4 linked regions of the Drosophila melanogaster genome follow. The protein of the gene in region 2 interacts with the protein of the main gene of each other region in a pairwise test. Each region holds a gene or a part of one and is shown on either strand. Other genes may lie near its edges. The genes, in order: sala, CG10750, Nup62 and Pglym87.

Evidence for each region.
Region 1: the proteins of CG10750 (region 2) and sala interact in a two-hybrid assay, tested with the Drosophila melanogaster proteins (one large-scale study listed by BioGRID).
Region 3: the proteins of CG10750 (region 2) and Nup62 interact in a two-hybrid assay, tested with the Drosophila melanogaster proteins (one large-scale study listed by BioGRID).
Region 4: the proteins of CG10750 (region 2) and Pglym87 interact in a two-hybrid assay, tested with the Drosophila melanogaster proteins (one large-scale study listed by BioGRID).

What each region holds. Positions count from the first base shown.
Region 1 is NT_033779.5:11,481,524-11,489,823, reverse strand, and holds sala (spalt-adjacent), read right to left. Parts: upstream 5,118-8,300; 5' UTR 4,793-5,117; intron 4,644-4,792; 5' UTR 4,610-4,643; coding exon of another isoform or gene 4,097-4,609; 5' UTR 4,070-4,096; exon of another isoform or gene 4,041-4,069; intron 3,743-4,040; 5' UTR 3,615-3,742; coding exon 3,603-3,614; intron 3,533-3,602; coding exon 3,116-3,532; 3' UTR 2,875-3,115; downstream 1-2,874. Other genes in the region: CG43355 (uncharacterized protein), read right to left, coding at 4,097-4,609. UniProt on the Drosophila melanogaster protein: Likely to be involved in the establishment of the head.
Region 2 is NT_033779.5:19,296,710-19,304,295, reverse strand, and holds CG10750 (uncharacterized protein), read right to left. Parts: upstream 4,042-7,586; 5' UTR 3,924-4,041; coding exon 3,811-3,923; intron 3,749-3,810; coding exon 3,294-3,748; intron 3,239-3,293; coding exon 2,951-3,238; coding exon of another isoform or gene 2,949-2,950; intron 2,897-2,948; coding exon 2,757-2,896; 3' UTR 2,696-2,756; downstream 1-2,695. Other genes in the region: CG17564 (uncharacterized protein), read left to right, coding at 4,569-4,681, 4,854-5,308, 5,367-5,654, 5,709-5,860.
Region 3 is NT_033778.4:16,342,863-16,350,343, reverse strand, and holds Nup62 (nucleoporin 62kD), read right to left. Parts: upstream 5,968-7,481; 5' UTR 5,764-5,967; coding exon 4,579-5,763; 3' UTR 4,516-4,578; downstream 1-4,515. Other genes in the region: CG15710 (uncharacterized protein), read left to right, coding at 1,878-2,675; wcd (wicked), read left to right, coding at 2,949-4,469; CG7997 (uncharacterized protein), read left to right, coding at 7,158-7,249, 7,309-7,338. UniProt on the Drosophila melanogaster protein: Essential component of the nuclear pore complex. The N-terminal is probably involved in nucleocytoplasmic transport.
Region 4 is NT_033777.3:12,228,648-12,236,204, forward strand, and holds Pglym87 (phosphoglyceromutase 87), read right to left. Parts: upstream 4,083-7,557; 5' UTR 4,031-4,082; coding exon 3,152-4,030; 3' UTR 2,998-3,151; downstream 1-2,997. Other genes in the region: CG3916 (uncharacterized protein), read left to right, coding at 809-1,444, 1,505-1,672; Cyp313a5 (cytochrome P450 313a5), read right to left, coding at 4,207-4,367, 4,422-4,983, 5,038-5,164, 5,222-5,294, 5,345-5,530, 5,590-5,790, 5,847-6,000; Cyp313a2 (cytochrome P450 313a2), read right to left, coding at 6,423-6,586, 6,660-7,233, 7,287-7,413, 7,474-7,546.

The sequences.
Region 1 (8,300 bases), 7.8 Mb from region 2:
GATGGAGTCCAGTCTAGAAGGCGCTGACATGCCATATGCCACATGGTAGTAGCCACGGACAGGATAAGATACTCAGTTATCTATTGGAGATTTTTTACGGGAACGAAACTTTGACTTAAAATTAACTTCTATGTACTAAGACTATGCAATTACCAAGATAATAAATATTCGTGTAAATGGGAATAGCATTTGTTTTTGTTATTATTAAAATATTGCTTATTTTGATATAGTTTCGATGCATTGGCAATGTATATATATATATATATATATATATATATAAGGAAATGTTTCTATCTTAAGAAATGTTTTTTTTATTTTGTGTCTGTAACATTGTAGACGCAAGGATATATAAGAGGCGTTGACCATTGATAGTCGATCTCCGAGAAGAATAAACATTAAATGGGGCGGTGGGGCAGTTTTGCTCTGTATTCCTTGTGTACGCTCATATCTTAACGGTTTTCGTTTATTTTCATATATACCCACATATATACACCAGAATGGTGTGGGGCAGAAAGTGTGTGAGGGGGTAGTGGTGCTATATGTGGGTGGTGTGGTCTTGGCCGGGCTATGAGTATATATGATTTTTATTGTTATTGTTTTGTCCTTTTATGATGTTGCACGTATCGCAGTAACTTTGCCCGAATGCTCGTGTGTACGTGTATCTTGCGAGTCCTGGCTATATCCCTGCCACATAAATACAAACATACTTGCTGGCACGTACATATATAAATAGAAGAAAAATCGAAGGGAAAACGAGAAAAATGAAACAATAACAAAGCGTGCAGTCTCGAATAAGCCACCCATTCCACCCACCCAGAAACTTCGAACTCCCCATTCGGTTATAATTGGGTGGCATTGAGGGTGCTGCCGCCGGACTCGGTATTTCACCACCGAAAATCGCTTGCTTTCTTTTCGCTTGTTCCCCCTCTTTTGTTGACTTAAGCGAAATGTGCTTGTGTGCGTGCATGTGGGTGCGCTCTAAGGGCTGTTTACCCCCGCGATCGCCCCCATTTCCGTTGTGTTTGTGGTTGTAATTTGAAGCCAGCGACAACCGAGCCTTGTTGGGTTTTTTCCTTCAAAAATGAGGGTGTATGGCACGTTATGGATTTATGATATATATACACATAACTTTATGCAATAAGCGCAGGTTCAAAAAGCCTTCCTGTGGTTGGCTGAAATTTGTTGGTTGCACTTCCGATTGGCTGGGAATATCAAGCAAATTCATAATTCCAGCGGTCACTTTCATAATTCCCCACCCCAAATGGCGTCGTCGCACATTGCGTATGCGCAATGTTAACCAAGGGTTAGAGAAAGGGAAACTTTGGCTGGACTCTAGGTGAGGTCATCCCATTTTCCACTTTCATCTAGTTATCTGATCCATAAGAGGGGACATAATATTTCCCGTCCTATTTCCTGGTACTCCCATTTCATTTTTATTGCTTCACTTCGCCTCGGCTTGATATGTTTCCTTTCTTCCTCCTGCTGACTGTCCTGCATCCCCATTGCTGTTATTGGTTTCCACTTTTTTATTCCCTTTGAACTGGACACGGCTACATTCTGCCCTTTCCCTTCACATGTGAGCGACTTTTTGTATTAAATTCCCTCCTTTTTGCCATCTTTTTTATTTGACGAGGCTTCAGTGAGTTTTTCAGTGTGCTTCTGAAAAAAAAGTAGATTTATTATAGATATTTTATAGTACGGACCGAGTTGTTCAGAGATGAAGAAAGCGAAGAAGAAAGAATATTGTGAAAGTACCGGCACTGAACTTTTGATTTGGTGCCATTTGTAAGGGATGCGAATACAAATCTTTAATCTAAAATTGGAGTTTAGAGTTTTTACTACTATCTATAAAAGCAAGAATAAAAAATTCCCTAATAAATATTAAGCAATATTTTTGCACAGCTTTTTTAAAATATAATTACAACATTTTTAAAAGATTTAAATTTCTATAATCTTCATCCTTTTATATGACAGTGTATTGGGGACCCAATTCGCACCTCTCAGGTGAGTGGAATATTTTTATGCCATTTTTATTTGTCGGACAGTTTCTTCTTGCCTCTCATGGCATTTTTATTCCGCTCTTATTTTTTGCAAATTTTTTTTTCACATTTTTATGGCGCAAATTGCCAGAAGAAAAAGAAGTAGCAAGAAAAGTGAGCGACGCAAAAACAAATTCCCGCAAACTAAATGTGTTTGTGGTGTTTGATAGCGTCAGCAATGTTGCCGCTTGGGTGGTTCACCCTTTGGCCACCACCCACTTTGAGCCGCCCCGCTATTCCGGGCCACTTTTTCGTTCTCCTTCGAGGAAAAGCGCGAGCGAGTGGGAGAAAGCAGCAGCAGCAGCAGCAGGTGAAGTAAATGGCAATAAAGGAGAAAAATTAATTTTATCCTTTCCATTTCCGTTGTTGCGCGCATCAGTGTGTGTGCGGTTTTCCTTCTCACTCTTTCCTTGGCCGTGTGGGTGGCAGTTTTTCCCGCACATTTTTTTTAGTTTTCTTCAGCTTTTGCATTATTTTAACGTGTGCTCTTTTTTCCCACCCTCACCTCGACTCTATTTTTTTTCCTTCGTTATAAATCTTGAGGTTGAGCACTCGACTGGACGCCATTTTTTATTTTTCACCTTCAGCCCCCACCCACCTGAACCCCACCCTTTACCATTCCCTCCCCATTCCCCCTTTTAGTCGGACGTCGCTTATTTTTCAATTCTGTCAGCTGCTTTGGTCAGAAAATGTCGCTTGGGAGCGGTCGACGGCATCCTTTTCTCCGATTGCAAAAGTTGAGATGGGATGTGTGGGGTATATATGCTTGTATGCTATCTGCAAAATAATTTATAGATGCCTCAACCAAAATGGACAGAGTAAAGGGTTCCGTTTCCTTATTTACTTTTTTATTGAGACTCCGTTTTTTTTTTCATTTTAGATACTGAAATTCAAGAAGGCACGTTGTATAGTGGATCTCAAGGGGGTTTTAGATAAAGAATCACTTTTACAAATCAATTCTGGACATTAGATACAATAGAGACTTCAGAAACAAGCAAGTGTTTCTTAAGAATTTACGGTAGAGAACTATAGCATTACATTCCTTTAATTTTGTCATGGGTATTCTCATATTTGTACTAATGTCTATGATGTCCATGATGTTCGTGGTGTCCATGGTGCTCATGATGTTCACGGTGATGATCGCCATGATGTTCCGGATATTCATGAGGATTTTCGTGAAAATGACCGGACTCAACTGGATTAGTTCCATGGAAATGGCCAGATCCCACAGGACTTCCGTAACCAGGCTGATATTGGTTTGGAGAACCTTGTCCAGCGAATCCTCCTTGACCCGGGTGGACTCCGCCTTGACCAATTCCCACCTGGCCACCAACTCCACCCTGTCCAGTGAATCCTATTTGTCCACCAAAACCTGCTTGCCCGCCGATTCCTCCGAATCCTCCAAATCCTCCTTGCCCTCCATATCCTCCTTGTCCAACTTGGCCGAATCCATTCTGAGCGTTCACAGCGGTCACCAGTGCAAACAGAGCAATCTATAGTTATAAATTTGTTATTATAAAAATATTTCTAAGTTAGTTAAGATTTCTATAGTAGAAGACGCACCAGTAGTTTCATCGTGGCTGAAGTTTCGGTACTGAGGCGGCTCTAATATTTTTTTGATTTTTATACCACGATTTGGTAATATCAAGTAGGTAGCTGAAAGGTATTCTACCTGGCTGAGGGACTTAAGTTTGAGTCTCTACCTGTAAAAGGAAATCACAGAAAAGTATTGCCGTCAACATCTGGTTACGATGGAAAATAAAATAAACCAGTTTATTGGAAGAGGGAAAATGGAAAAACAGAAAAATCCGGAATTGAATAGAATACTAATACTAATTCAGTACCATATTGAAATGACGGAAATATAAAGGAGTTTTTAAATTATTTGTTTATTTATATTTATTTATTTGATATTTGAAAAGTTTTTATCAACATAACATTACTCGATTTTTTTGATCAGGAAAATCCGGATAATATAAAATCATTAATAAGACATTACTCAGATACAAGATATAACATAGTGACTTTACCTTTTTTGAAACATTTTCTACTGTTGTCTAAATATCAATGATTTCGTATTTATTTTTTCCAGGTATTTCATCAGTAGGAACTTCGCCACCGGGAATTGGAGATTGGAAGCTGCCATGCTGATCGTCGTTTGAGGTTTCGTTGTGAGGTCTTTCGGTACCAGGAAATCCACTTTGAGGTGGACCGCCTCCTGGGCAACCGCAATGCGGACACCCTCCTGCTGGAGATCCAGATGGTGGGGGGTGGTGTGAAGAAGGAGGCGGAGGTGGCGGAGGAGGATATCCCTGCCAATGGTGGCCACCATACAGATATCCCCCTGGTGGTGGATAATGGGGCGGTGGTGGAGGTGGACCGTATCCCTCCCAAAAGTGACTTCCATGTCGATGGGGGCGATGAGGCGGTGGTGGAAAAGGCTGGTGCTGGTGTCCGTGTCCACAGCGTCCACCAGCACCATGTCTGCCACGATGGTGATGATGGTGACGAGGGGGAGGTGGACCTCCGTGTGGGTGATGTCCTCCTCCAGAAAATCGCCGACAGCCCATCTGATCGAGTCTCAGATGAATTTAGAGCAACGATCTGAAAAGATGTATGACTAATATTTTTGAGAACAAGATGCATTTGAATCTTTTTATATGCAAAAATTATTATATATGTTTATACGTCCGTTGTACATACATATGGTAAGCTGATAAGAATATTTTCTATGTATATATTCATTGACTTACATTTTTTCCTATTTCTATCTTAATGGAAACAATATACAGTAAATAAATGTTTGTTTTGCAACTGGTTTATTTTAGCGTACTTATTAATACGTCATTTATTTGTTGCTTTTAATAGCTAAAACAAGTTAGAATTCGATTTGTTGACGCAGTGGCCGAATTCATTGATATATATAAGTCTGGATATTTTTTTCTCTATCAATAAATATTTTAAAGAATAATTCCTAATACAAGTAAAGGCAAAAAGAAAAACCAGCGCACAATTAATTGCTTTGAATTTTGTTGTTTTGAACACAAGAATTGGATCAGCTGCTTAAATGTTATTTACAATTTAGAGTGGCATTGTATTTGGTTGCCAAAAAATAATATATAGGTTTATTTTTGGAAGAGTTGTTTGTTGATAACATATCGCCGCCAAAAATACTACAAGTTCAAATGCTTATGAGATTAAAAGTAAATTCGGAGGTGAAAAGCAACCATTTAAATAAGCAATATTGTTAAACTTTAAAACTGTGAAAATTATATTTGATTATCTAATTACATTTTCAATCTATCTCTTTATTTGTGGAGTCTAGTGATAACCAAAGAATTAAACAACTAAATCGTCTTAATTTCCGAGAAGCTGCTTAGCTATTATTATGCCTACGCTTGCCTTAAGTATTTATCCTTGAGTAAGGAAATCCTTCTGGGCGGAAAGAAAATCCAGCGGCATAAAGTTATGTGCCCAGGGCCAAAATTTTAATTCCAAATTTAATTTTCAGCCATTTTCCTCATTTTCCCCGGATGAATTTGTCAGGGCGTGTCGCATTCGGAAACCACTCGCCGGGGAATGAAGTGGAGACAAAGACATCTCGGGAAAAGGAAACATTTTTTGGCTTATGCCAAAATTACATCAAAAAGCGCTGCGGGTATGTAGGTATGTAGACAGACGTGGCAATTCCCATCTTAGGATTGAGTAAAGTGGCAAAAGGACGAGGGGCAGGCTGGAGCTGAAGGATTGCTGAGCCTTGGAAGTGGCAGGGAGTGAATGTCGTGAAGATATGCCAGGACCCTTGGAGAAAAGTTGAGCGGACCGAGGAACAGGGTTTGGTGATTGCTATCTTCATAATGACTTTGAAGTGTCAAACAATTTTGGGGAATTATCAACGCCCGCCTCGTCTTTCGCAAAGGTGAAAATGAAAATTGTACTTTTTGTTTGACTCAAACTTGATGGGGCCAAACTGAAGATATAATTATAATTTAATTGAAATGAAATTGTCGCTTAAGTCGAGTAGAAAAGGAATGGTATTGCGGCATTGGTAGACTCCAGGGGTAAAGCTCTCAACTTAATATTTTGCTGGCTAAAAATTTGGGCAGATGCGAAATACTCTTGGCTGAGCTGTAAAAGTGAGTCAATAAAATACACAACTATTTGCGCACCAATTTAATATGCCACATAGGCAAGTTAAAGGAGTTCGCCCAGCTCAAGTTTTCCGAGGGATGCGACAAAATACATTGGGTTGACAGAAGCCCATGAAGGGCCAAAAAGAAAAGCACACCGAGTTTCTGAACAGGTCCGAACAATGTCCGAGGAAAATCAATTTAATTTTTACTCATGTTCATGGCGTGACCCCTCGATAATCCATGGAAAAGGGGACGAGGTCGTCCTGCTGCTGAGCCGCCTGAGGTGGAAATTTCACTTAAGTCACTTTCAACTTTCGCAAGATGCCATCAAAGTTGGCTCCAAAGTTACTGGTCAGTTGATTTTTCCACCTCCTGGGGCGGCGGCCATTACCACCGATATTTACATTTTACCCAACCCACGGGGAAAACCTTTTCTCGAACACGATCTCCCCCAGCGCTCTCCAAACTTATGAAAAGTTTCGGTGAATTTGCGATAATGCTTTTTTTGGCTGGTGGTATATACATTTAACTTCAGCGCACGTGTGTCAGCTTTTCATCATATACTCTTCACAATTTTCAAACCGTGAAGTGCTTTTTCATGAGACCAGAAGAAATGAGTAAAGTTTTTTTTTAAAATAATTTTTTATATATTTTTTATCCCAAGAGCTTCAAGTTCTATTATAATGCCCAAAAATGTAACGTATGTTTAAGTTAGTTCATATACGAATATGCTCCTAAAGCATATATTTATGGTGTTGTCGTATGTACAACAATGTATGTGCATATGAAAAGGTTTTGTGAAAAACAATTCTGGTACCCACTGTGTGCCGCTAAGGGAAAACAAAATGGCATACTTGTACTGTATGGAAGATGATGATGAAATTGGAAAATCTGACCGAGACAGGATACCGAAAGGGGTGTGAACGTCGGGTGGCTGCCACTTACATGACATGACAATAACTTTGACTTGACCATTCGACCGTTGCTCATATCTGAGTATCCTTCCCAGCTGCCCACCACTCCATATTCAGATCCTTCTGCATGTTTGTTTGTGCTGGTGCTGGGTTGATGGCGAGCAGACAGGGAGGATGGGATGAGTGCAGACAGGCAAGGATGTGTGGTGCACAGGTACACACGCTCACTCGCACACTCACGTAATGCTCTTTTTTGGCTCCAATGCGATGGCTGAACAAAGAGAAATATTTATGCGTTGACCAACTTGACCAACTCGGACTCCATTGCCATTTCCAATTCAACCTCCGGCGGTCCTTGAAAGCCAAAAATTCCGAATTCAAATCCAATTCGAAATCAAAGCCCGGCCAAGGAAGAAATTCCCAGAAGGGGTTGAGCCCCCCAACTGCAAGCGTAGTCATTGCTGTTTATGATGAAAAATGTCCAAAATTACTTTGCCAGCTTCAGTACACTGAAAGAATTCCTATATTTTTAAGGATATTCCTGACTATAACTCCTTACTAAATACAGATATCAATCAACTTACATATAATAAAAACATGTTGGAAAAATAAGGACATAATATTTTGTTTTGTGTACGTTCTAGTATCCATACGATGTAAGTGTGTTTGCAGACACATGATGACCTTTTGGGCACGGCATCGAAAGGGTCAGTCCGAGACAACTCCACTCGAGTTTTACGTTAATATTTAATATTGCGAATAGTTGATTGAAACATTTAGAATTTTCCATGACGGGCGCCAGCAGCTTCGGAACAACAAATTGCTCATCTCTGCATATTCCAGTACGAGTGCTCGATGTCCCATTTCTTTAGTTGGCTGCCTGTGATTTTATTTGGCCATTGCAAATTGAATTGGGAATAATTTAGTAGCTGAATATCACACGGGAAATGCACACAAAACTATTTTTGTGATTTTCGATTGTTAAATGGATATCGCTAGTCCAACTGGGGAATGTAAAAATAGAAATTTCCTCTAAGCACCGCTTACATTTACAAATAATTTCGAAGCAAATTGATTACCATTTTTCAGGGAAGCTAAGCATTCTTTATTGAAAGAAATTAAAATCCCCCATGTTACCTTTATTAAGAGACGGGCGGACAAACAGCTGGAAGTCCTGCTATTGCAGTCACCCAGCAGAAGGACATAACGATAAT
Region 2 (7,586 bases):
CCAGAATACCTACCAGCTCAAAATATTTGCCTGTTGCTCCAATCTCCAAGTACAGCATACCCCGTGAATTGCTTGGCAACGGGGTACAAAAAAGGAAGACAAATCAATGCAGGTGTCACAAATGTCAGCCGACAGCTTTTGGATCCCTTCCCGCTTCCTTTGAGAGAGGATATTAATGTCGCCAAGTGAATTGATGATGCCGATTGTTGTTGTCCCAGGGCATAAGCCGATTTGCCATCTTATCACAGGCCCCGTCGCCCGACGACGACTCCGTCAGTAAATCCAGCTCCATCTCCGACACTCCAACGACAATTCCTATTCTGATTCCGATTCCGATTCTGACTCTGATTCCGGTTTCAATCTCTGAGGCGAGCTTTCATAAAGGGACCCCCCCCCCCTCCACCGATTGACAGGCATAATAAATCATGTGTTATAGTATTAATCAAGCTCCTTCTGGCTTCTTCGACTGGTTGCTCCTTTGACTGCTGAGCCTGCCATTGTTGTGCCGGATAATCGCTTGACATTTATTGCAGCTACCGGCAGGATGTGCTCGCATCGACTTAAAGTCCTCGCTTCAAGTTGTCCTCGCAAAGTGTCCTTTAATTGCGCCTATTTCGTCTGCTCCTTTCGGCCTGCCAGTCGTGCATTTTGCAGGCATTGTTTCTCTAATTGCTATTTGTCGCCAGTGTCCCATACAAGTGGGCAGCCATTCGTCCTCCGCCGCCCAACTTTTCTGTCTGGCCGTCACATTAAGAACTTGTAAAGTTAAATTAAGTGTTTCGTCTAGTAAGCGGGAAAAAAGCAAATGGCAGCAAAAGCGCCAAGAAGCTGCAGAACTTACGAAAAGGATAATTGCGGGGGCGGAAAGGTAGTTTTCCCTTGCTAATAGTTGTCTGCTTTTAAGAGATATATTTGTTAAATTTTAAAGGAAAGAATTGGTTAGAATTCAAATGATAGGGAAGATAAATGTATTGCATTTTGAGAGGAGGTTCAAGTTTAAATTGGAAGGAAGAAATTCAAAGGGTCTGCTCAAACTAGTTCTGCAAAATGTGTAAAAATGGGAGTCTGAAATATGCTTTGCCCCATTTCATGTGCAAATTCTACATCACATTGCAGTTTGACATTCAAAGCGCATAGTTTATCTGCAAAGTTCGAAGTAATTGGGACAACAACTGTGATAAACAATTCTAAAGCTCAATTTCGAAACTGAAAGTATTTCAAGAAATGCTCAAGCAACCCTCGCATCAGCGTGGCCTCGTTTCACCTACACCGCATTGCTGGCAATATTATTTAATTCGCAGACAGTTAATTGTAATGCAATTAAGGGATTAGCTGGGAATGCCATTAGGCTTTATTGTTCATATGAACAGGACAGAATGAATTGGTATCTGCGATGATAAAATTCGGAGAAGGCGGCGGCTGCTCATTTATCTAAAAGATTCATTTTAATGACAGGCACTTCAAAAACTCAAATCTAAGCGGGCATAGAATGCGTTACTCAATTATTTAAATTGCAGGCAACAAATCTAAAGTGTTTGCATGATTTTACTAAGAGCCAGCCCCATGCCGCCAAGCAATTTAATGTAATTGCTGTCGCACTCAAAAGTAAAATCCGAAATGTACAAAAAATGACTGCCGGGCGCTGTGGGCCAACTTGCGGGCCAACTTGTGGCCCATCCATACGGTCCATTTAAATAAACCAAATGTTTATTTTGCCGAACTACTTCGATTTCGATCGCTTCGTCTTACCATTGCTTTTTGTTTTTTATTCTTGCTCGAAATAAATGTCTGTGCATTTTAGTTTGCTTTCCGTTTGATTTGATTTTTAGGCTACGTATATCGTCGAGTGTCCTGTCGGTAGTCCTGGGAGTTTTCCTTCGGGCTGATATCAGCAAAAATCGCAAATCAAATAAAGCAAATTGAATAAGAGACAAGTGCCACGCCTCCGCTGGCGACTCAACTCAATGCCCTGGGTGGGCGTACGTGTGGGCGGTAGGTGGAGCTGGAGCGGGGGCGTGGCAACGGTTCTCGGGCACAAAAATTAGTTGGTAGTTCCATTCGAGCCAACGTTGTTGTAAATGCGAGGACAGAAATCAAAATGTTCGCATAAAAGAATTATCTGTGCTTAAGTTAGATTATCCCCGGGCCATAGAATCCAATTGGCAATTGAATGGAAAGATGTCGCAGATTCGATTTGCCAACTTTATTTTCTTGCCCATCGCTTTGTCCTTCCCTGATTTGAAGTTCGTGTGCCACTTGAAAGTTGCCCAGCCTCTGGTATCTCAGTCCTCGAATGCATTTCCTTTTTATCGGATTCCATTTGATTTTCTTTTGGGCACGGAACAACAATGCCCAACCGAATGTTGTGGGTTCTCTAGTTTTTTTTTTTTTTTTTTTTTTTTTTGGGAGGGCTGGCAAGGTTTTGGGGTTAGACAAATGTTATGGGTGCCATAAAGCTGAAGGTGGAGCGCCCATTTAAGTTCTTAGGAATGAGAGTAAATCTGAAAGGATGTAAGGCCTCTCGGTTCAAACAAAAAACCCTAAACAGTTTGGAGCTCATAAATCAAGTCGTACATTTATTCCTTCGCTACAACCCTTCTAATCTCTGATTCGGCTGAATTTTTTTTAAATATTTGCAGTAAAAATAACCCAAACGGAAATTAGTAAAAGCTATTTGAACTTCGTTCCATTAATTAAAGGATTTAAAATCATTTATTTATTTATTTATGCTCCATGAAAAATATTATATTTTCCGACTAGCACATACGTCCAGCGCCGACTTTATCGCCCTTATTGGACTCCAATTCCTGGAGGACCGATGAAAGAAGACTTATTTCGCGCATGATGAAGCTCATGATTTTGTCGATCTCATAGCTGTGGTAGCTGGGAACAATGTCTGCGGGGGTGGAGTTGGTACATCAGCTAGAGTCAAAGGATTTCAAGGACATACCTCGACGTTTGCAGAGCATGCGGTACAGGATTTGAATGCCATCAAACATGCGCTCCTTGTCCAGGTTGTAGAGCGACGTGGTGTCCTTGCAGGCACTTAGTATCTTTTCCCACTTGAGGCAAGTGGCCCGCGAGCTGACATAGGAACGATCCAAACGGGCCAGATCGTTTTTGAGGCCCAAAACGGTCAAGGCCGCCTCGCTGGTGATCTGAACCATTCGCAGGCGCATCTCCTCGATCTCGTTGAGTTTCTGGCTCTCCAGCTTATTGATCTCCACCTGGGCCAACACTGCACAACAAAAACAAATTTAGAATGGAAATTACAGGAGGTGTGGAGAACCCACTTAGAGCGTCACATCGATCGATGCAGTCTTTCGTTGAGATGAAGATGTCCGACACCTCGACTACCTCCTCCAGGACCCTCTCGTATGGCTGAAACTGAGCCACCGTGGCCTTGAGCGCATTGCGAAAGGTGCTCAGTTCGGCAATGGAGGTCTTGAACTCGTCTATCTCCTTGGTGACCTCCGCGTGGAGAACGGTCTCCTCGCGAATCGACTTATCCGCACTGCGCTTTTTGTCCGCACAATCCTTGATGAATCCATTCACCTCGACGAAGCGTTTGCGCAGGCGCTCCTGAATCTTGTACATCTTGCGAATGCGCTGCACATTTAATGCGGCTTGCCGCTTGGCATCTTTGAGTAGCTGGATCTGAACCTGCTTCATGGCGTCGTACTCCCGGAGATTGGCTATGTACAGCATCTCGATGTTATCCCCGGCCGAATCCCAATTGGGCGGTTTCCTAGACCATCCAAGTTTCATTAATAGTATGACTTACATATTGTAGTTGCTCTTTTAGCTTACACGAAGAATTGGTCCTGCTGGCGAGAGACGCGATAGTCATCGATGGCGACCTCTGGACTGAGGTCCAGATCCCCGATCACATCGGTCTTAATGGTGGGCTTACGTCGCGGCATCTTGTCCTATTAAAATATAATCTTTTCAAATATATTGATATATATTGGGGGAATATCTATTGGAGAACGATGTGTGATGAGTAATTCTACATGTATATGGGCAGACAGCACAGTCAAGGATAAAAGGATTAAACCATTTTTTATTACTACATTCAGATATTTATGCAATTGCTGACGTTTCCTTCATAAGTACGACCAGTCGTTAAATCAAGTAAAAACAATTGAAAAGATATCATAATTCTATAGTTGTTGATTAAAAATTAATCATCATCGAGTATCAAGAGTATATTAGGTTCGGCTTGCCGAAGAAGCTTCCTATTTTGTTTTTTCGAAAGAAACCAAATTGTGCAGTTACCATGACACAAAACTGGTTACACCTTCTCAACCATTGCCACGGTAATAAAAGAACCTCCTGGCAACCAATTGTTTTTATGTGTCACCCAAATAAAAAACATGTTCCAAGTAGGTCTTGTTAATTTTTATTACAAAACAATAACACACTTTGAAAAGTAAGCACACAGCACACACAACTACTACTACAAAACGCACAATCCGCGCTGTATCGCGGTAACCAAAGCAAAAAAAAATATAAAAAACTAACAAAAACGTACACTTGAGCTTTTACTTTCGGCAAAGAGATCCAAGATGCCCCGCGTGAAGCCCACCAAGAAGCTCGATGTTCTGGGAAATCTGGACCTGCGGCCGGAGGATGCCGTGGGGGACTATATCAGCTCTAAGCAGCAGAACAAATTCTTCGTGTAAGTAGTGAATCCCACACTGAAAAAAGGCTGAAAGAGAAGTACCCAATCCTAAAATGATCCTGGTAGTGCAGTTTGAGATTTTTGAGAAATTTTACAGCTTCGTAATTTACTGTTGCAAGGATGTCTCTATCTGGTATCAATTATTTGACCTATTCGTAACTTCCTGTAGAATTCCACCGAACTCGGACTCTGCCGGCGACTCCATCGAACTGATATATGTGAACAATCTCCGCGAGCACGAAGCCATGCTCAAGCTGCAGGAGGAGATGCTGACCAGTGCCAAGCGGCAGACCAAGCTGAACTCCGCCCGGGTGAGGAACATGTACAAGATCCAGGAGCGGCTGAGGCGGCGCTTCATCGAGGTGAACAGCTTCATCAAGGACTGCGCGGACAAAAAGAGAGTGGCCGAGAAGACCGCCCAAGCGGAGACGCTCAACCATAAGGAGCTCGGCGAGGGCATTGAGAGCTTCAAGGACTCGATCGGCGAACTCAAGGCCTTTCGGGAGGCTCTCAAGGCCACCGTGCAGGAGTTCCAGCCCTACGAGAAGGTGCTCGACGAGGTGGTGAAGGTATCCGACATATTCGTCTCGCCAAAGGACTGCACCGATCGCTGTGATGCGCTGAGTGAGCATTGCTAATTTATAAAATGAAATAAAGTTATTAATTTTTTTTTGTTCTACAGTGCTGGCTCAAGTGGAGATCAACAAGTTGGAGCATCAAAAGCTCCAGGACATCGAGAACATGCGGCAGCGTATGGTGCAGATCACAAATGATGCGGCTCTAACTGTGCTGGGTCTAAAGAACGATCTGGCCAAACTGGAACGATCCTACAACGAGTCCAGAGTGCAGTGCCTCAGATGGGAGAAGATCCTGGCCAAGACCAAGGACGCCATCAACAACAACTACATGGACAAGGAGCGCACAATAGATGCGATTACCAACCTTCACCGAATCCTTCTACGGCGAAGAGGTTAGTCAAAAAATCTTGCTATTATTAAATAATTTATTCATTTTATTATTTTAGATGTACATTCGTTTCCCGCTCGCGGCGACTTGGACAAGGTGTTGGATGCCATCATGGGCGAAGTGGAAATATTAACTGGCGTTGTAAAGGAAATCGAATCATCTGATCCCTCGATAAAGCACGAGGAAGCCAGAGATAAGTCGCTGTGCTAATTGGATATCAAAATTCAAAGAGTTCATAGGGAAGACTAGGCACACCTCACAGCTATTACAACTATAAAAGCTTATTAAAAGCGAAACTTTTAAAACGTTTGTTTGTTTCTATAGAAAGAAGTGCTTTGTGTGATGGTTCGCTGCTCTTAGCCTGCTCCTGCAGCTTGTGGCAATTGTTAATTGTGCTGAGCTCTGCATTCGGTTGTTAATGCCACTTTCTAATTGCTTTTACCTCATAAATCTTCTCCGCTGCTCCTCAATGCCTCCGTCCAAGTGGATGGTCCGAATTGGGGTCCTGGAGCGGCTTTCGTCGCGTCCTGCTCTGCAGTCATCATAAGTCACCGAATTGTCGGGCACTCAAGACAAATGTGACACTTGCTTATTTAATTAGAGATCTGCAGGCGGGATGGAAGGCCAGTACTTAAGCTCCAGAGTCTGTGCATCAACTGGACGACATTTAGCGCTAACTGCGCCAACTTCGCTTGACGGCTTTTTAATTACGTCAGCCCGGGAAATGTTCCTCTTACCACTGCTCTGCATGACAATTAGCCGGTCTAAAAAAAAAAACCCGCTCTCTGGTCAATTGAAAATTTTCTTGCTATTTTTCAGCAGGGAAAAACTTTTTTAATTACCACCGAAAAGAGACGGTGACAAAAAACAATAGTCGACCATTCGGCCGGCGGCTCTGATTTTCAATTATTTATTGACAGGAGTCTCGATTCGTCGTTTAACCTGTCGAACTCTTGACACGACCTCCGCTTTTTCAGCAAATGCACAAGTTGGGTTTGGGCTCAACACTTTTGCTGCAATGCAACTTTAATGCCGGCTAACTGACAGATTCAACTTCAATAATTGATGCGAAAATGCATAAAACAATTTCGATAAAACAGTTTTTAGATGTCATCGTGTTAATTATGCATATGCTAGAAAAACAATCCCTTTGACCGGCAAAATAATTGGCTTAAACATTTGAATTTGTGCTCTGCCAAAAGTTTGCACTTCTTCAGTGCGAGGAGTGGCAAAAATTAATCAGCACCACAAATTATCGGGATGACAAACGCCCTGCGGACAGAAATAAGTTTGAAAACATCCATACACATATGCGATTCAGAATATGTTTTTAATACCCCAACCCACTCGGTTTCTCTGACATCTTTATGCCATGTCGGCTTCTAGTCGTGTTTTGGTTTCCCGGTGCCCGCTGGTGACATTTCCGCTCTGCCTGGTCTTTGGGTCTTCGGGATTGGATTGCCGAAAAAAGAAGGTGTAAGAAGTCGGACGAGGTGATGTATGGAAACATTTTAATTAATGCTGACAGCTGGAAATGTCGCGGCCACCTTTTGTTGTGTAAATTTCATCGACTCGAGGCGTTGGACTCTATAATTATGATTGGATATCGTTGCACGTTCCTCGCTCCCACTTCTTTCTATTTTCAATTTGCCCCACCCGTTTGCTTCCCCATTGAGCAGCACGTCACTAAATTAATCCGCTTAGCAGTCGCATATTCCCCTCGATGTTTACCCGACCAGACAACCCGAGCAGACCCCATCCGAGCCCAAAGAATCAGATTCGGAGGAGGAGGAACCGGCCAGACGCTTGACCAGACGGTTAAGCCTTAATCCTCGATAGTTGTTGGCCCTTAAACTCTTCTAGGGTTTCCATCGCTCGGGCGTTTTTTTTTTCTTCCAGGTGTCAAGGTGAATGAATGGCACATCGGGGAGTTGGG
Region 3 (7,481 bases), on a different chromosome or scaffold from region 2:
GATGCAGGGCGCGGAATGGGGGATACTGGCATGGCGGGGAGTTGGGAGTGCGACTGCAAAGGATCTGCCACAATGTCAGGCCACTTAAGGAGCGCTGAATCGCAGCGCCTCGCTGCACAGGAACTCAAGGATATTGGAAGTGGGCGGAAAATGGGCGGGGAACACTCCCAGAAAATGCAGCGATTCTTAGACAAACTTCAATCCTTGGAACTTGATTAGCTATTATTACTTAAGGCAAACGATTAAAAAAGCTTCTGCGTAAAGGATTAGTAGAAAGATATAAAAGAATCCCATATTCTGTTAATCTGAAATCAACAGATTCTGAAATGAAAAATATTCATATTTCAGATAGCTTACTTCAAAATAACTAAAAAGAATAGCCTAAATGGTTTAAAAAGCATATAATACATTCAAGAATAGTGTATGCTTTTTAAATAATTCACAATCTTTTGAGGAAATACCAACAACCCAACTTCGCGCTGCTTAAAATTAATGATAAGTATGTTTAATATTTATAGAAAATTATTTGCTAGTGTATCGCCGCCTGGATGGCGCAACAATAATGCTGGACCCTTTGAAATGACAAAAATTGGTTGCTCTCCGTGCGGCTTGACGCCTGACTTGGCAGGAGACACTCGAGGGCACCACAAATGCCAAGCCGTCACCCACCCAGGCACCCAACTAAACACCCACTGCTCCTACAAGCAACGTCCTCCCCCCGCGAAGGACGCGTCTTATCAACTATGCAGGGCTTTGTCTCTAAGCGATTGCAGGCGCCACCCCCCCTTTCCCTTCCAACCTGCCCCTGCCCCCTTTTGCTCCACGCAGTCAGCGTCTTTTGTTGCGCTTAATGAATTTTACGTAAATTTTACGAGCGCTGATTTCTGGCAGCAGCAGCACCACCCCAGCTATTAATCCACACTTTGGCGAGAGCACCACCCCCAGTGGATGGGTAAATTAGTGGGTGGTTGGGTGGTTAGTGGGTGGATGAGACTGGTGCTCTCCTGGTTGTGCGTGTGTAATGACAAGTTCAACAACAACTCGACATTGTCGACTGGTGACGAGGACGACGTGCTCCGACATTTGTTTGCCCAAGTTATGCAAATATTTTTCCAGTCAAGAAGTTTTTGTTTAATTGCATATTTTGACTCGCATTACGCGTGTCATAAAGCAGGGATCCGGAGCTTACCACAATGCCAGAAGTTGGGCGGGGATTAGAGGCACTCGAAAGACATGTTCCTGCATTTTACAGTTCAAAGACCAAACTAAACAATCAGTTTTACGAGTATAGATCTTATTCTGCCCAGGCTTGCCATTGAACTATAGCTATCTTCCTTAGAAATTAATTTAAATTAAATTTATATTTAAGTCTCTAAGATGATATTTTAAAAATAATTCCTAACACAGACGAAATCATGGAGAAGCCTTTAATATGGTTCATAAAACATAATTTATTTGCTGCGTTCGAAACTGTGAAGCTGACCTACTTCATTTAAAAACGAAATTAAACCGAATATATATAGTATGTATACTTCTGCTTTAGACAGTAAAAATGCATGAAGATTGTTTGCTTAATTGGTTAAACTAAATGATGGCTAAATATATTACCACCTCATTTATGGTAATCCGAATAAAACGTTTAATTTTTTTTTGGAGGAAAGCGTTGGATTCGAATTTCATTGCCTGGACAAATTTAAAAAGTTTACATTTTTGAGGCATACCTATCGCGTATACGCTTTCTTTCTTTTCCAGCCCTGACAGTTTCCGAGTATCGAGTATCGAGTATTACTTTCTATCTTTCAATGACAATGACCGGCGACTTTCTCACTTTCTTCGTACGCTTCTTACTGGCGAAACACAAGAGCCCACAAAGGATTATGACAAGTGCTGGCAACTGGATTTCCGAGGAGCTGGAACCAGCTACTCTACTGTCGATTCAGGAGGATAATGGTATTGTTACCAAGGTGTACGTGGCGCCCTGTTTGCAGCCGATAAAAGAGGAGAAAGTTTTCCTGGAGGACAACACGCAACGCTTCCACTGTCCGCTTTGCTCTAATGTGATTCGCACGGCCGGTGCCTACAAGGTCCATCTGATGGCCTGCCAAAGACGCTTGGCACGCATGATGAAGGATGTGCCGGACGTGTCCCAGCATCAGTGCAACATTTGCAAGAAAATCTTCTCCTCGGTGGATGCCCTGATCGGCCACAGGCTCCTGCATGGAAGCCCATCAATGAATCGCACCTGTGCATCCTGCCATGTCAAGTTCGGGACGGATCTGGAGTATCGCACCCATTTGGAGAGCCATCTGATACCGTGCGAGTCCACGGATGAATCCTACGAAGGGGCGTACACCATCACCAAGACCTTCAATTGCGTCTTTTGTCGCACGGAGTTCAAGGCCTGCTTTAAGCCTGGCCAAGTGACCCGTCGATACGCGTGCGACGCATGTATCGTAAGGCTGAAGGCCCAGGAGGAGGAGAAAAAGATCTTAGGGAAGAGAAGGCCCGAATTAATCTGTGATCGTTGTGGGAAAAAGTACAAATATGAGGGTTTCCTTCACCGTCATCTGAAAACTTGCCAGATGCCGGATAAATGCAAAAGAAAGCGTGAGATTGAAATCACCGAGGTCAGCGAGGTAACATTTACAGAAGTTGTGCAAAGTTTTAATAATTGATTATACAAATTCGCACATTTTAATTTTAAATTAAATAAATATATTTTTTAATTGTAATATTTTTTATAATTTTCAAATTATGGCGCCCATCCCACCGATATCTATTTCGATCTGCTATCGATGTGGTCACACTTATCGATAAATCCACCGTGGCGTGGTATTTTTGATTTAAAGCGTTAGTCGATTTCCCGCCCAGCTGCACGTGTATATTTTTTTGCGGTCCAAAGAAAAGTTCGTAAATAAACGAATTTGCGTGCATTTCCAGCGAACACGATGAGTTCAGACGAGTCCAGCGACGGTTTGGAGGAGCTGCAGAGTCTGAAGGCCCTCTACGGCCAGCAGGAGCAAGAGAAACCGGCAAAGATCAAAAGGGAACGTTATATTCCAAAGGCCTCGCAGGCCAAGGAGCTCAACTATGTGGAGGTGCCCATGGAAAAGGTGCTCTTCGGCGACAGGCAGCGACTGCTCACCAATCTAGCCAAGTCCGTGGGACAAAAGTTGCCGAACGATGACGAAGACGAGCAGGAGGAAAATCCCGGCCAGGCAAAGCCAGGCGACAAGCGGAAAGCCGCCTGGTCGGATTCCGATGACGAGGACCTGCAGGTGGGCGATGTCAAGAAGGCCACAAAGCACACGGGTCCACTGAACCACCTGCGCAAGGATAAATCGTACAAGGAGTATCTTACGGCGCGATTCCAGCGCACGCTTAACCAACCCAAGTGGGCGGAAAAGAAGGTCAAAAATGAGGACGACGAGGACGTATCCTCCGACGAAGAACTGCTGCGGACGGTTGGCTTTATCGATCGTAAAGCCCGGAACAGTGATCTGCCCCAGAAGACTCTGAATTTTAAACGGGTCAAAGACCTGAACAGGGCCACATATGCCGAGGGTAATGCCACCAGCATTCAGTTTCATCCAACCAGTACTGCTGCTCTAGTGGCGGGCATGAATGGCCTAGCCACCATCTACGCCGTGGATGGGCAAAAGAACGAAAGGTTGCACAACATGCGCTTCAAGAAGTTCCCGCTGGCGTGCTCCAGAATTGCTCCATGCGGCACAAGGGCGTTCTTTGGTTCTGTGAAACCATTCTACTACTCCTACGACTTGCTGGAAGCCAAGGAATCGAAGCTAAAGCTGCCGGGCGCAATGGAATTTATGCACCGCTTTGAGGTGTCTCCATGTGGCAAATTTATCGTCACTGCTGGCAAGTTTGGAGCCATTCACCTGCTCACGGCCAAAACAAATGAGCTGCTGCACAGCTTCAAGCAGGAGGGCAAAGTGAAGGGATTCACATGGTCTAGTGACTCCAAGAGGATCCTCGTCTGCGGTTCCACTTCCAATGTCAGCGTGCTGAACCTGCGCCAGAACCTCATCGAGCACATCTTCATGGACGACGGCTGTATACATGGAGAGTCCATTCAACTGTCTCCCAACCAACGCCTACTGGCCACCGGCAGTCAAGAGGGCGTGGTCAACATCTACGACTACGAGAGCATTTTCGCATCCAAGGCCCCACAACCCGAGAAGCGCTTCATGAACCTACGGACTGCCATCACGGATCTCCAGTTCAATCACTCATCTGAGCTACTGGCGATGTGCTCCAGTGAGGCGCCGAATGCTTTTAAGCTGGCCCATTTCCCCAGCGCCACTGTGTACTCCAATTTCCCGGCACAGAACGAGAAGGTTGGCTTTGTGACCTCCATGGCCTTTTCGCCGCACAGCAGCTTCCTGGCCTTTGCCACTAAGGGCAAACAGGTGCCGCTCTTTAGGCTTAAGTACTTCAAGGGTTATTAATTGAAGGCAGTATGATGTTTACAATAAATTCTTAAATAAAATCATTACTCTTTCTGTGGTTACAATGGAACCATCTTTATTTAAGTTAACAAATTAAGGGGACTTATCTTTAGAAAGGAGCTCGGAAAATATCGCGTTTCTGGGAGTCTTGAATCTTGCCAATGTCTTCCAGCTTCTTGCTGATGTTCGTCGACTGCGATTCGATCCACTGCAACGAATTCATATGGGCATTAAGGATTTTTCCGATCTGTATGATGGGATCAGTGGTGTCCTGGCCCTTGTTGGCCTCGTTCAAGTTGTCTATTATCTCCTTTAGATCCTCGGACATCTGCTTCAGTTGTGTGTCCAGATTCTCCACCATCAGGTAGGTTTGGCTGCGTTCCATGTCCACCCTCGGGAGATTAACGAATTCCTTCTCAAGCGGTCCCAGGCTGTCCTCAAGCTCTTTTTGCTGCGTGGCTATAAACTCCAGCTCCTGGTCCAGCACTTGCTGATCGGTTTTCACTTTTTTCACGGCATCGTTGAGCTCGACGATCTTCCCGTTGTTGCTGATGAGCAGTTTGTCCCATGCGTTGATCTGAGTGGCCTGTTCGGTGAATACCTTTTCCTGTTCCTCGAACTCGAGAGTCCACTTGTTGATATGCTCCTCAAGTTGGTGGTAGGACAATTGGGATGCCGTGGAAACGGCCGATGAGTCTGTGGTCTTGGTTTCGGTAGTGAGATTGGCAAAAGCACCACCAGTACTTAAAGTTGGGGCCGGTGCAGCTCCCTGCGTGGAGGCTATGGCCGACGGAGCTGCAGTCAGAGTTGTGGACGCAGCGGCCGTGGTCTTGGGAGCTCCCAATCCAGACCCGCCCAGCAATCCAGTTGTGGTAGCTGCGGTGTTGGGTGCACTGGTTGCTATAGTTGGCACCACAGATGCCGCTGGTTGAGCCGTAAAGCCTCCGAAGGCGGGAGGAGCAGCAGAGGTTCCAGTCGCGGTCGCAGAAGTGGTGGACGCTGGATTTGCGGCGGCTTGAGTGCCCAGCGTGAGGGGAGCTGAAGCAGTCCCGGATCCCAGGCCAAATCCAAAGGCTGGTGGAGCCTGCGCCTTGCTGTTGTCTGCATCTCCGCCACCGATACCAGCAGTAGGTGCCGGTGTTCCGAAAGAGAATGTGGTTTTTGTGGCGGGAGCCGTGGTTGCTGCTCCTGAAGCTGGTGCTGCGGCTGGTGTTCCTGTGCTGAGGCCGAAGGAAAACGACGATGTTGCGCCTCCGGTCGGGGCGGCGGTTGTTGTTGGCAACTGGAATACCATGCTTAAACTTAAGACGAATAATATAAATCTAAATCAAACGAAACACGCCAAAAGCAACCAGTGTGACCCCTCCTTGGAGTTCCGCAATGTTGTCGGTGTTGGAAATCAACTAAATTTGAGCTCAAGCTAGCTATTTTCAAGCCAAAACACTTAGCAGTTTGAAGATTGGGCGGCAAAATTAAATTTTAAATTTCTTTGAATTGGCAATACAAATGAAGTACTTTGCTCAGTCGACGATACATTTTTGTTACTAAAACATGCTGAAAACCAAAACATTTATATTATTTTAACGTTTGCAATCACTTTTTGCACTTTTAAAATATATTTATGTCTGTGTCCGTTTTTTTAACCAGCGATCAACTAACTTGCGAAATCGACAAACAACACTGGTCGAGAGCTATGTTTTAGCTCCAGTTTTAGTCGTACATGGAACAAATCATTCCGCGCAACTTAAATAAAAAAACCAACTCAGAAAGAAAACGTAGTCAATCGTACAAACAAAATCAATAACAAAACACCGGCTTTAATTAGTCATCTTTTGCTATCTGTAAGTGCAAAGGCGATAAGGTAACATTTGGGTCAAAAGAATTCAATTACAAGCCCAAAGTGCAGCGGCACTCAGTTCAGTAATTGCATTTTGCTAAATCAGCTAAACACATGTGTGCTTCCTATCAGAAGGTTCGTTCTGCGTACCTGTGTAGGTTCTCTTCAGAGCTGCCAGCCACAAAATTAGAAAAATTACCTAAGGTACAAACGTAATGCGGTACAACAATTAGAGCTTGTCTTTGACCTTCGGTTTTTTTTTTTTTTGTAATAAGATTCTTTTTAAGATTTTCATAAGATCTGAGATCTGATCCTCAAAAACAGAAATTTTAAATTATTCTTAAAAACCAGATCAAAATTTTCTAATAAAAGACCATAGTTCCTATGTTTTGTTAGTACATGTTTTCCCATCACTAGTACCGTGCTCTAGTCTACTATGCTTCCAACTATTTCCCCAACTTTGTTGACCAGTGTAGCTGGCAAGCAGCGCCAGAATTGAACAACAAAAGCATATCAGAATCAAAAGCCCCTGTTCTCGGTCTCTCCTCGATTTTCTCTATTTGCTCCCTGTGATCGCTGTGAACTTGGCGTGATAAGGGGCTCCGGCTCCTCCTGCAATCGAGAAAGCCCGCTGTTTGCGCCACCCGGCGAACACCAATCAGTCGATGGGAGTACTCCGCTGCAATAGCAATTAGCCACTAACCTTCTGTCAGCTCTTCAGGTGCCATTCCCCTACCTCCAGCTCCTCAGGTGCCCCTGCCAAACAGAGTTATCTGGAGTGCCGCCCGCTGGAGAATATAAATTCCCTGGGTGCCCAAAGGCCAGGATTCAGTCGGTGCCACTAGCTCGCCATGTACGGAACGTGGGGCGTCTTTCTGGGCGGGATTCTTCTGCTGCAGGTTCTGCAATTATCCATGGGCCTCGATAATGGCCTGGCACTAAAGTGAGTATTAAATTTTGATTGGATTCTAGGCCACTTAATTGAAATTCTGTCGATTTTAGGCCACCTATGGGCTGGATGTCCTGGGAGCGGTAAGAAATATTTACCAGCAACTAGATTAGATCATAAAGAATTATCATTACGTCTAACATTTAAAATAAATAAACTTTAATAGTTAGTAAAAATTAGGCCTTGGCATGAACTCTACACGCTACGCTGCAATAACGCTTTTGTT
Region 4 (7,557 bases), on a different chromosome or scaffold from region 2:
TGGTCGTTTATTTTAGTACTTAATTTGCCCAGGATCGCACCACAAGCAGCACCTCGTTCTTCCAGCGAATCAGAGGAATCCCACTCCACTCCTCTCCAACTAGTAATATAAATTATGACTCTGGACACCAACACATGCAGCGATCTGGCGTTGGTTTTGCGCTCGAGCATTGGCAAATTAAACAGATTCTTATTTGCAAATCAGATAAGAGATCATGCCAGGGAACAGCGACCAGATACGAATTCTCAGTCGCCCAGATAGACAGATACCGATATGGGGATTCGGCTAGAGCTGCCTTAATATTTATCGGTCGCGTGAGCGTGTTACCTAATTGATGACAACAGGTAGGCGCTTCTGTCAAGCCCAGTATTATGATGGCATCGAAGGATCGCATCCCGGCTAGCTTATGATAACCAGACACGCAAAGCGACAACTGGGCAGCACGGAGCGGAGCAGCAGGTGGGATCTCCTCGACTACTGTTTGAATCCGAATTTTTGAAAATGGTATATATTACATAGATCTGGCCAATGTTTATCTTTAAATATATGTATTAAATTGAATTACATTAATGTACAAAAAGGAAAGTATTTTTGTTAAGTGTACATGAGCACATATGTGTTATTTGTAGGAGATATTTGGGAAAGGTCACACCGATTCAGCCCACATTACATTTCAAGATCACCGGAATTTAAATGTTTACATTGCCAAATAAATGATAAGGCTGTTCTGCATGGAGATGTATAAAATGGATGGGTTGCAGTGGAATGCAATTCATTTCCAACAGTTGAATCGTGATCGTATTTTGAAATGGTAGTACTACAGCTTTTCTGCATGTTGTTGATCCTTCGCCAAGGACTAGCTGACGTGGTAACCTCGACCACCGAATCACCCACTAGGATAAATGGAGGACAGCGCGTGAACGAGACGGTGCCCTTCCAGGTGTCCTTGCAAATGCAGCGACGTGGACGCTGGCAGCACTTTTGTGGAGGATCCATTGTGAGCGGTCAGCACGTCCTTACGGCGGCCCACTGTATGGAGAAGATGAAGGTCGAGGACGTTAGCGTGGTCGTGGGGACGCTTAACTGGAAGGCCGGTGGACTACGTCACCGGTTGGTGACCAAGCACGTCCATCCCCAGTACTCGATGAATCCTCGCATTATCAATGACATTGCCCTGGTCAAGGTTACTCCGCCGTTCCGCCTGGAGCGATCCGATATCAGTACAATTCTAATCGGTGGCTCGGATCGCATTGGCGAGAAGGTTCCGGTACGCCTCACCGGCTGGGGATCCACCAGTCCATCCACTTCCTCGGCGACTCTGCCCGATCAGCTGCAGGCTTTGAACTATCGCACCATCTCGAACGAGGATTGCAATCAAAAGGGATTTCGGGTGACTCGGAACGAGATCTGCGCACTGGCTGTCCAGGGTCAAGGGGCATGTGTGGTGAGTAAACAAAAAGTAATATCACGCTAAGCGGAATTAATCATGCTTTCCCAAACTTAGGGCGACTCTGGTGGACCCTTGATTAGGCCCGGTAAGCAGCCGCACTTGGTGGGAATTGTCTCCTACGGATCATCCACCTGTGCCCAGGGCAGACCCGACGTCTACACGCGGGTGTCCAGTTTTCTGCCCTACATCAGTCAGGTGATCAACCAAGACTTGGCCCAATAAATACCGACCTGTAGCGCATAAATAAACCGAGTCTCTGCCCGAACTTGACTAAATTCCTCGAAGTCTTGCGTTCTTGGTCACATCCCCCCACTTTCTACGCTTTGGCGACTAATTAAAAATCTTGTTCAATATTCGCCACAGCCAGAGGGAGGGTGGAGGAGTTCGGCAGTCCGGGTGTGGCGTCCACAGAGTCGCCTTGCCATCTTCGTGGTCTAGGCTTGGCCCGACTCCAGCGAAAACTTGGGCTGCCGCCTGCCAGGGCGACCATGATAAATGCAAAAAGCAATTTATCGCGCATTTAACTCAATTCAGTTTCTTTATGGCAGCGGGATGTGGATGCGAGCTTGAGGATGTGGAGACGTGGGGATGTGGAGCCGGAGCGCTTGGTCGACGGAGCCTGCCACAAAGTTTCGCTGACACGCACACTGTTCTGCGAACTCTGGACTCCTCTCCAAAGACCGGGCCTTGTAATTCGATATTAGATTTTATGCGCGACAAAAACGAAGTGCAAACATTTTTATGTTCCCGCCGTTTCTATGCTGCAATTGGTATACCAATTTGACGGGGCGCCGACTTTGACTTTAACTTTAACTTCGGTCTGGGCTCCACTGCGTCTGTGTAATTAGGTTCAAATAATGTGGAGCTCAGCCTCTTCGCGCCACACTAGTCAGCAAGATATTGTAGTTCGCACAGCCCTCATGGAAGGATGATCCTGCAGAGGACCCAAGTTTGCCAGCAGAGTGCCCGTCTCCTAGCTCGTTTCACGCTCTCAATTTACTGGATCAAAGCTCGCCACGCTCGGCGAGCCTAACATGGAAAATCTGGCCCCAAATTAACTCCCATATGGTAGACGGCTAGCAACGGGTCAAATGCTCAGAAGACTAAACCTAAACACCAAAACTCCAACCACCTACCTATCCATCTCAACGCATCTCATTCGGAGGGAATCTGAGTCTCGCTGGGCACCGCGCTCAGCATATAAATTCATTTAGATCAATCAATTCAATTTGTTTGTCAATAAGCCCTAAATGAGTATTTCATTTAAACAAATTAAAATTCGACCCGTTCGGAATGCCAGAGGCTGCTCAGACTCATCCCGCAGCAATTAAAATTGACGCGACACACTCGATTCCCTGATTTCTTAAACGAGCGCAATGGAAACACATATAAATACGGCTGGACTTTGGCTCAGACCCAGACCCAGACCCACATCCAGACCCAGACCCTGGGACCCAGAACCGTCGCCTGAGTTCCAGAGACCAAGACCAAGACCAAGACCAAGAGACCAACGGCCAGCCAGCCCATCGTTGTTGACTCTTCATTGTCAATTAAAATCAAATAAATTTATTTGCTTCTTGACATTCGCCTGGCCACAGTGAGCACCACTTTCGATTCGCCGCTTTTGTTTGGCATACAAGTGCATTGAGCTGATTGCTCTGACCTTCTTCGGAGGCTGCTGGGTATACCCAAAATCACGGATCACTTGGCTTTGCCCTGGTTGGCCACCGACTCCATTGCCTTCTTCACCGTCTCCGGATCGCCGAGGAACTTCAACGTGGCCAAAGGCTTGAGGCTCTCGTCTAGTTCGTAGACGAAAGGAATGCCAGTGGGCAGGTTGAGGCTCATAATGTCCTTGTCAGAGATGCATTCCAAGTGCTTGACCACGCCCCGCAGGCTGTTGCCGTGGGCGGCGATCAGGACACGCATTCCATCCTTGATCTGGGGCACTATGACCTCGTTCCAGTAGGGCAAGGTGCGCTCGATGGTGAGCTTGAGGGACTCGGATTTGGGGAACTCCTCCGGCTTCAGTTGGTCCTTGTAGCGCGGATCCTCAACAATGCAGGCGTAGTACTCGTGATCCTTCTCCATTGGCGGCGGTGGGGTGTCAAAGCTGCGGCGCCAGATCTTAACCTTCTCCTCGCCGAACTTCTTGGCGGTCTCGGCCTTATTCAGTCCCGTCAGTCCGCCGTAGTGGCGCTCGTTGAGGCGCCACGTGGTGCACACCGGAATCTTCTTGTGCTCGCTGGACTTTAGGGCGGCCCTGAGTGTCTCCTGGGCTCTGGTCAGCACCGAGGTGTGGGCCACATCGAACTCAATTTTGGCATCTTTGAGCGCTTTGCCAGCGGCACAGGCCTCCTGCTGCCCCTTCTCCGATAGCTTGGCATCGAACCATCCGCAGAATAGGTTCTTCTGATTCCATTCGGACTCTCCATGACGAACCATCACAATCCTGTACTTGCCCTTCTTCTCGGCCTGCTTTCCGCCGGATGATGACTTCGAGAACGGGCAGCGGGCTTCGATGTTCGCCACGCGACACAGCAATTGGCCACACCACGAATTCCTGGCCAGAGCCAACATTTTGGGACACTTTGAATTTGGAAAGTGTTTGCAGTCTATATCGTGTTCATTTCGAATGGATTTTCTATTAAAAGTGCCGGGTTGAACCTATGACAGTAAGAAAAGTTCGTTGAAATAAGGTTACTTTGAGGTTTTTATTTCATGCATTCTAACAGTATGGAAATATTCTTTAATGATTATATTCTACGTTTCACTGCTAGTAATGGTTGCTCAGCCAGCTTCATAGTGGTATTGTCTATAAACCTAAGGTCCTTGTACAAAAAGGTGGTACTCAGCATATAATTTCGTAATATTTTAGCTAGAGCTAGCTTTGCAGATATCAGCGAGAGTTTCCAACCTAAGTACATAATATATTATAATAGTGTAAAGGAATTATAAGAAAGTTACCCACCTAAGCATGTTTTCTTCCCCTTCGAAAAAGGTAAATAGGAATAAGGTGGCCTTGCTCGCTTATTTTCAGGCAGAAAGTTATCGGGATTAAATGCATTAGCCTGTGGTCCCCAGATATCCTTATTACGATGAGTGTGAAAAATGTCTATCATTAAGGTTACGCCTTCTGGAATATAAAATCCGTTTGATAGTTGAATAGAATGGGAAGTTTGCCTTATCAGTAATGGAACGGCCGGTATTAAACGCATAGTCTCATGCAAAACTCGATCCAGCTTCACTAATTTCTCCAGATCCGCATGACTGGCTTCGAATTCTCCTCCTGAAGGAAACACCTCTGCTAGCTCCTCAAATACATTATCCTGGTATTTAGGAAACATTGCCATCAGGATAAGCACATTGTTGACTGTTATAGATAAAGTATCGGATGCGGCAAATATGATATTAGAAAATTCCCCCATTACGTCGTCATAAGAAAGTTCTCCGATTCTCACAAGATTGAGAATGCGGTCAATTAGTGCCGGTTCTGAGCTATTATCTGTGCTACTCAGCTTTTTGTCTATTATCTGAAAATATGCATATGTTTAGAAGGAAATCTCTGACTTCTGAGTTATAAGTACGTCTTTGATGAATGCATTTGACTGCGTTGCGGCCTCTAGTCGTCGTTTTTCATAGCTAAATAGCTTTCCAAGATACTTGTTCCTGAGCCAAGGCATTACAACACCAATGGGTATTAGGTTGTTAAGGCTATAAAATAAATAGAGTATAAATAAATCTACTAATATAAGATAGAAATAATCATACGCCTTGTAGCTTTCCAAAAGATTTCCGTTCTGGTAGTTCGCTTGATTTCTCACTTCATCACCCATAGTAATTTCTTAAATTATAGAGTTAATAAAATAAGAATATAGCAACCTATTTACTTACGAGCGGCTATTTTGAATGACCATTTATTGAGTTCTGGAAGTAAGTTTATATCTCCCCCATCGACAAATTCCGCGAGTAAGGTCACCAGGAAATTGGCTTCATTGTTTAAAACTGGCACAAAACTTAGAACAGCATTATTCTTAAACGATGGTAACAAAAGTTTTCGTCGTTCATTCCAATGATTATCTATACTTACAATTGATTGTCAATTAAGAAACAAGAAATTATAAGAATTTTTCACTTACTCTTTAGGGTCAGAAGGCCCAGTCCTAAACATGATGAAATGGCCTTGTCCACCACAGAACTCCTGTTGCTGCAATTGGGAGACGTGAAAATGTCCTCAAGGATCTTAGGTTCACAGGTCACCAGGACGGGAGTTAAGCCAATCCAAGTCAATACCGTTTTTCCATATATTTTAAATAAAATGGTACGCAGGCGTATCTTACCTGTGTAAAAACGTTTTTAGTTTTACCTAATTAAATTCGAAAATATAATTACTTACGTTTTAGGCGAATGTACTCAAAGGCAAGTCCGATAAACGGAAAGCCCATTGGTCCTGGTAACTTTAGCATCATAATATAAAATCTTCTTCGACTCCATAGAAAGTATACACATAAAATGATTGCAAATGCCTCAAAAATTTGCAGCGTAAGCATTTCAATCTGCGATTTGGGTGAACGGTCTTGAATGAATATTTGGGAATTCGGACGAGCTTTATATAGGTGAAACATGCATAGCATTTAATTGCTCTAGAATATTTTTAACTCGCCCTTTCATAAATGTGCCAATTCCACTTTGACCTTTTGCACATTTATAAAAAATAAATTCCTATTTTTCATATACTTACTTTGAGATTGCTTTGAAGCCTTGCCGGTGTAAGGCTTGCTTTGAAAAAAGTAGTGTTTGTCTTGTAGTTTCTAAGTATCTTGGCCAAGAAGATCTCGGGTGAAACAAATCAATACTTACAAGTTTTAAAAACAATCATAATCAAAACTACCAAACCGTTTTATTTGTGATGGCTGTATAAAAAGAATTCTTAAAGCCAATATAATAGAATTTTCAAAATAAGAAAGTTATGTTATAAAGTTCGTCGTTCGAATGCCAGTTGTGGTGACTGAGCAAGCTTTATGACCATGTGGTCAACGAATTCCAGATTTTCGTAGGGAAAGCTGGTTTTTAGCTTGTAGTTTCTGAGTATCTTGACTAAAGCTAGTTTCGAAGACATCAGTCCATATCGCCAGCCTGATACAAATAAAAAATGTTGTATTAAAACCTTACTTATACTTATACTTAGTATTTTCCAAGGCTAACCGACCTATGCAATTTCTCTTTCCCTTTGAAAATGGAATGAAGGCGTATGGATGCCTGTCGTGGATTTTTTCCGGCAGAAAGTTTTCGGGATTGAACTGCGCTGCTTCTGAGCCCCAATAATCAGTGTTGCGTTGAGTGTTAAATATGTCTATGCTGATAGTCATTCCCTTGGGGATGACAACTCCATTTGATAGCCGCAAGTCCTCCAGTGTCTCCCTCGAGCTGAACGGAACGGATGGCATCAATCGCAGGGTTTCATTCAAAACGCGATCTAAATAAACCAATTGTTGAAGATCGGTGTGGGTAACCTCGATTCCTTTGGCCAAAGGGAAGTGCTCCTTAATCTCATTGAAGACCATTTCCTGATGTTCAGGAAACATGGCCAGCAAAACGAGGGCATAATACACTGTGTGGGCGCTTGTCTCGAAAGCAGCGAGAACCATACTGCTGCATTCGGCACCTAACTCCATTAAGGACATTTCGTCATTACGAAAAAGTTCAATCGCCCTGTGTATAACAGTCTTTAGTTCTGACTCGCAATAATTTTCTGGGTTTGAATTTAGCTTTTTGTCCAGAATCTAAATAGGAAAGTTACAAAAATGTAAATCTTCAATTTGCAATCTCAACTCACGTTGTTTATCATTTTATTAATGGCAGAAGCGTCTCTTCTTCGCAGCCATTCAAGTCCGAAGAGTTTGGAAACAATTTTATTTTGCACAAAGGGCACGAAAATATTTATGATGGTCAGTCGCAACATCCTAAGAAATATGGGTATCTATAACCTTTATAAAAGAACAAACTATATGGGATTCGCTTACGACTGATAGGTTTTTAATATTGCGTCGTTTTCGAAATTATCATCTTTCGTAACATCGGTTCCCAATGTGGTTTCTGTGGACAGT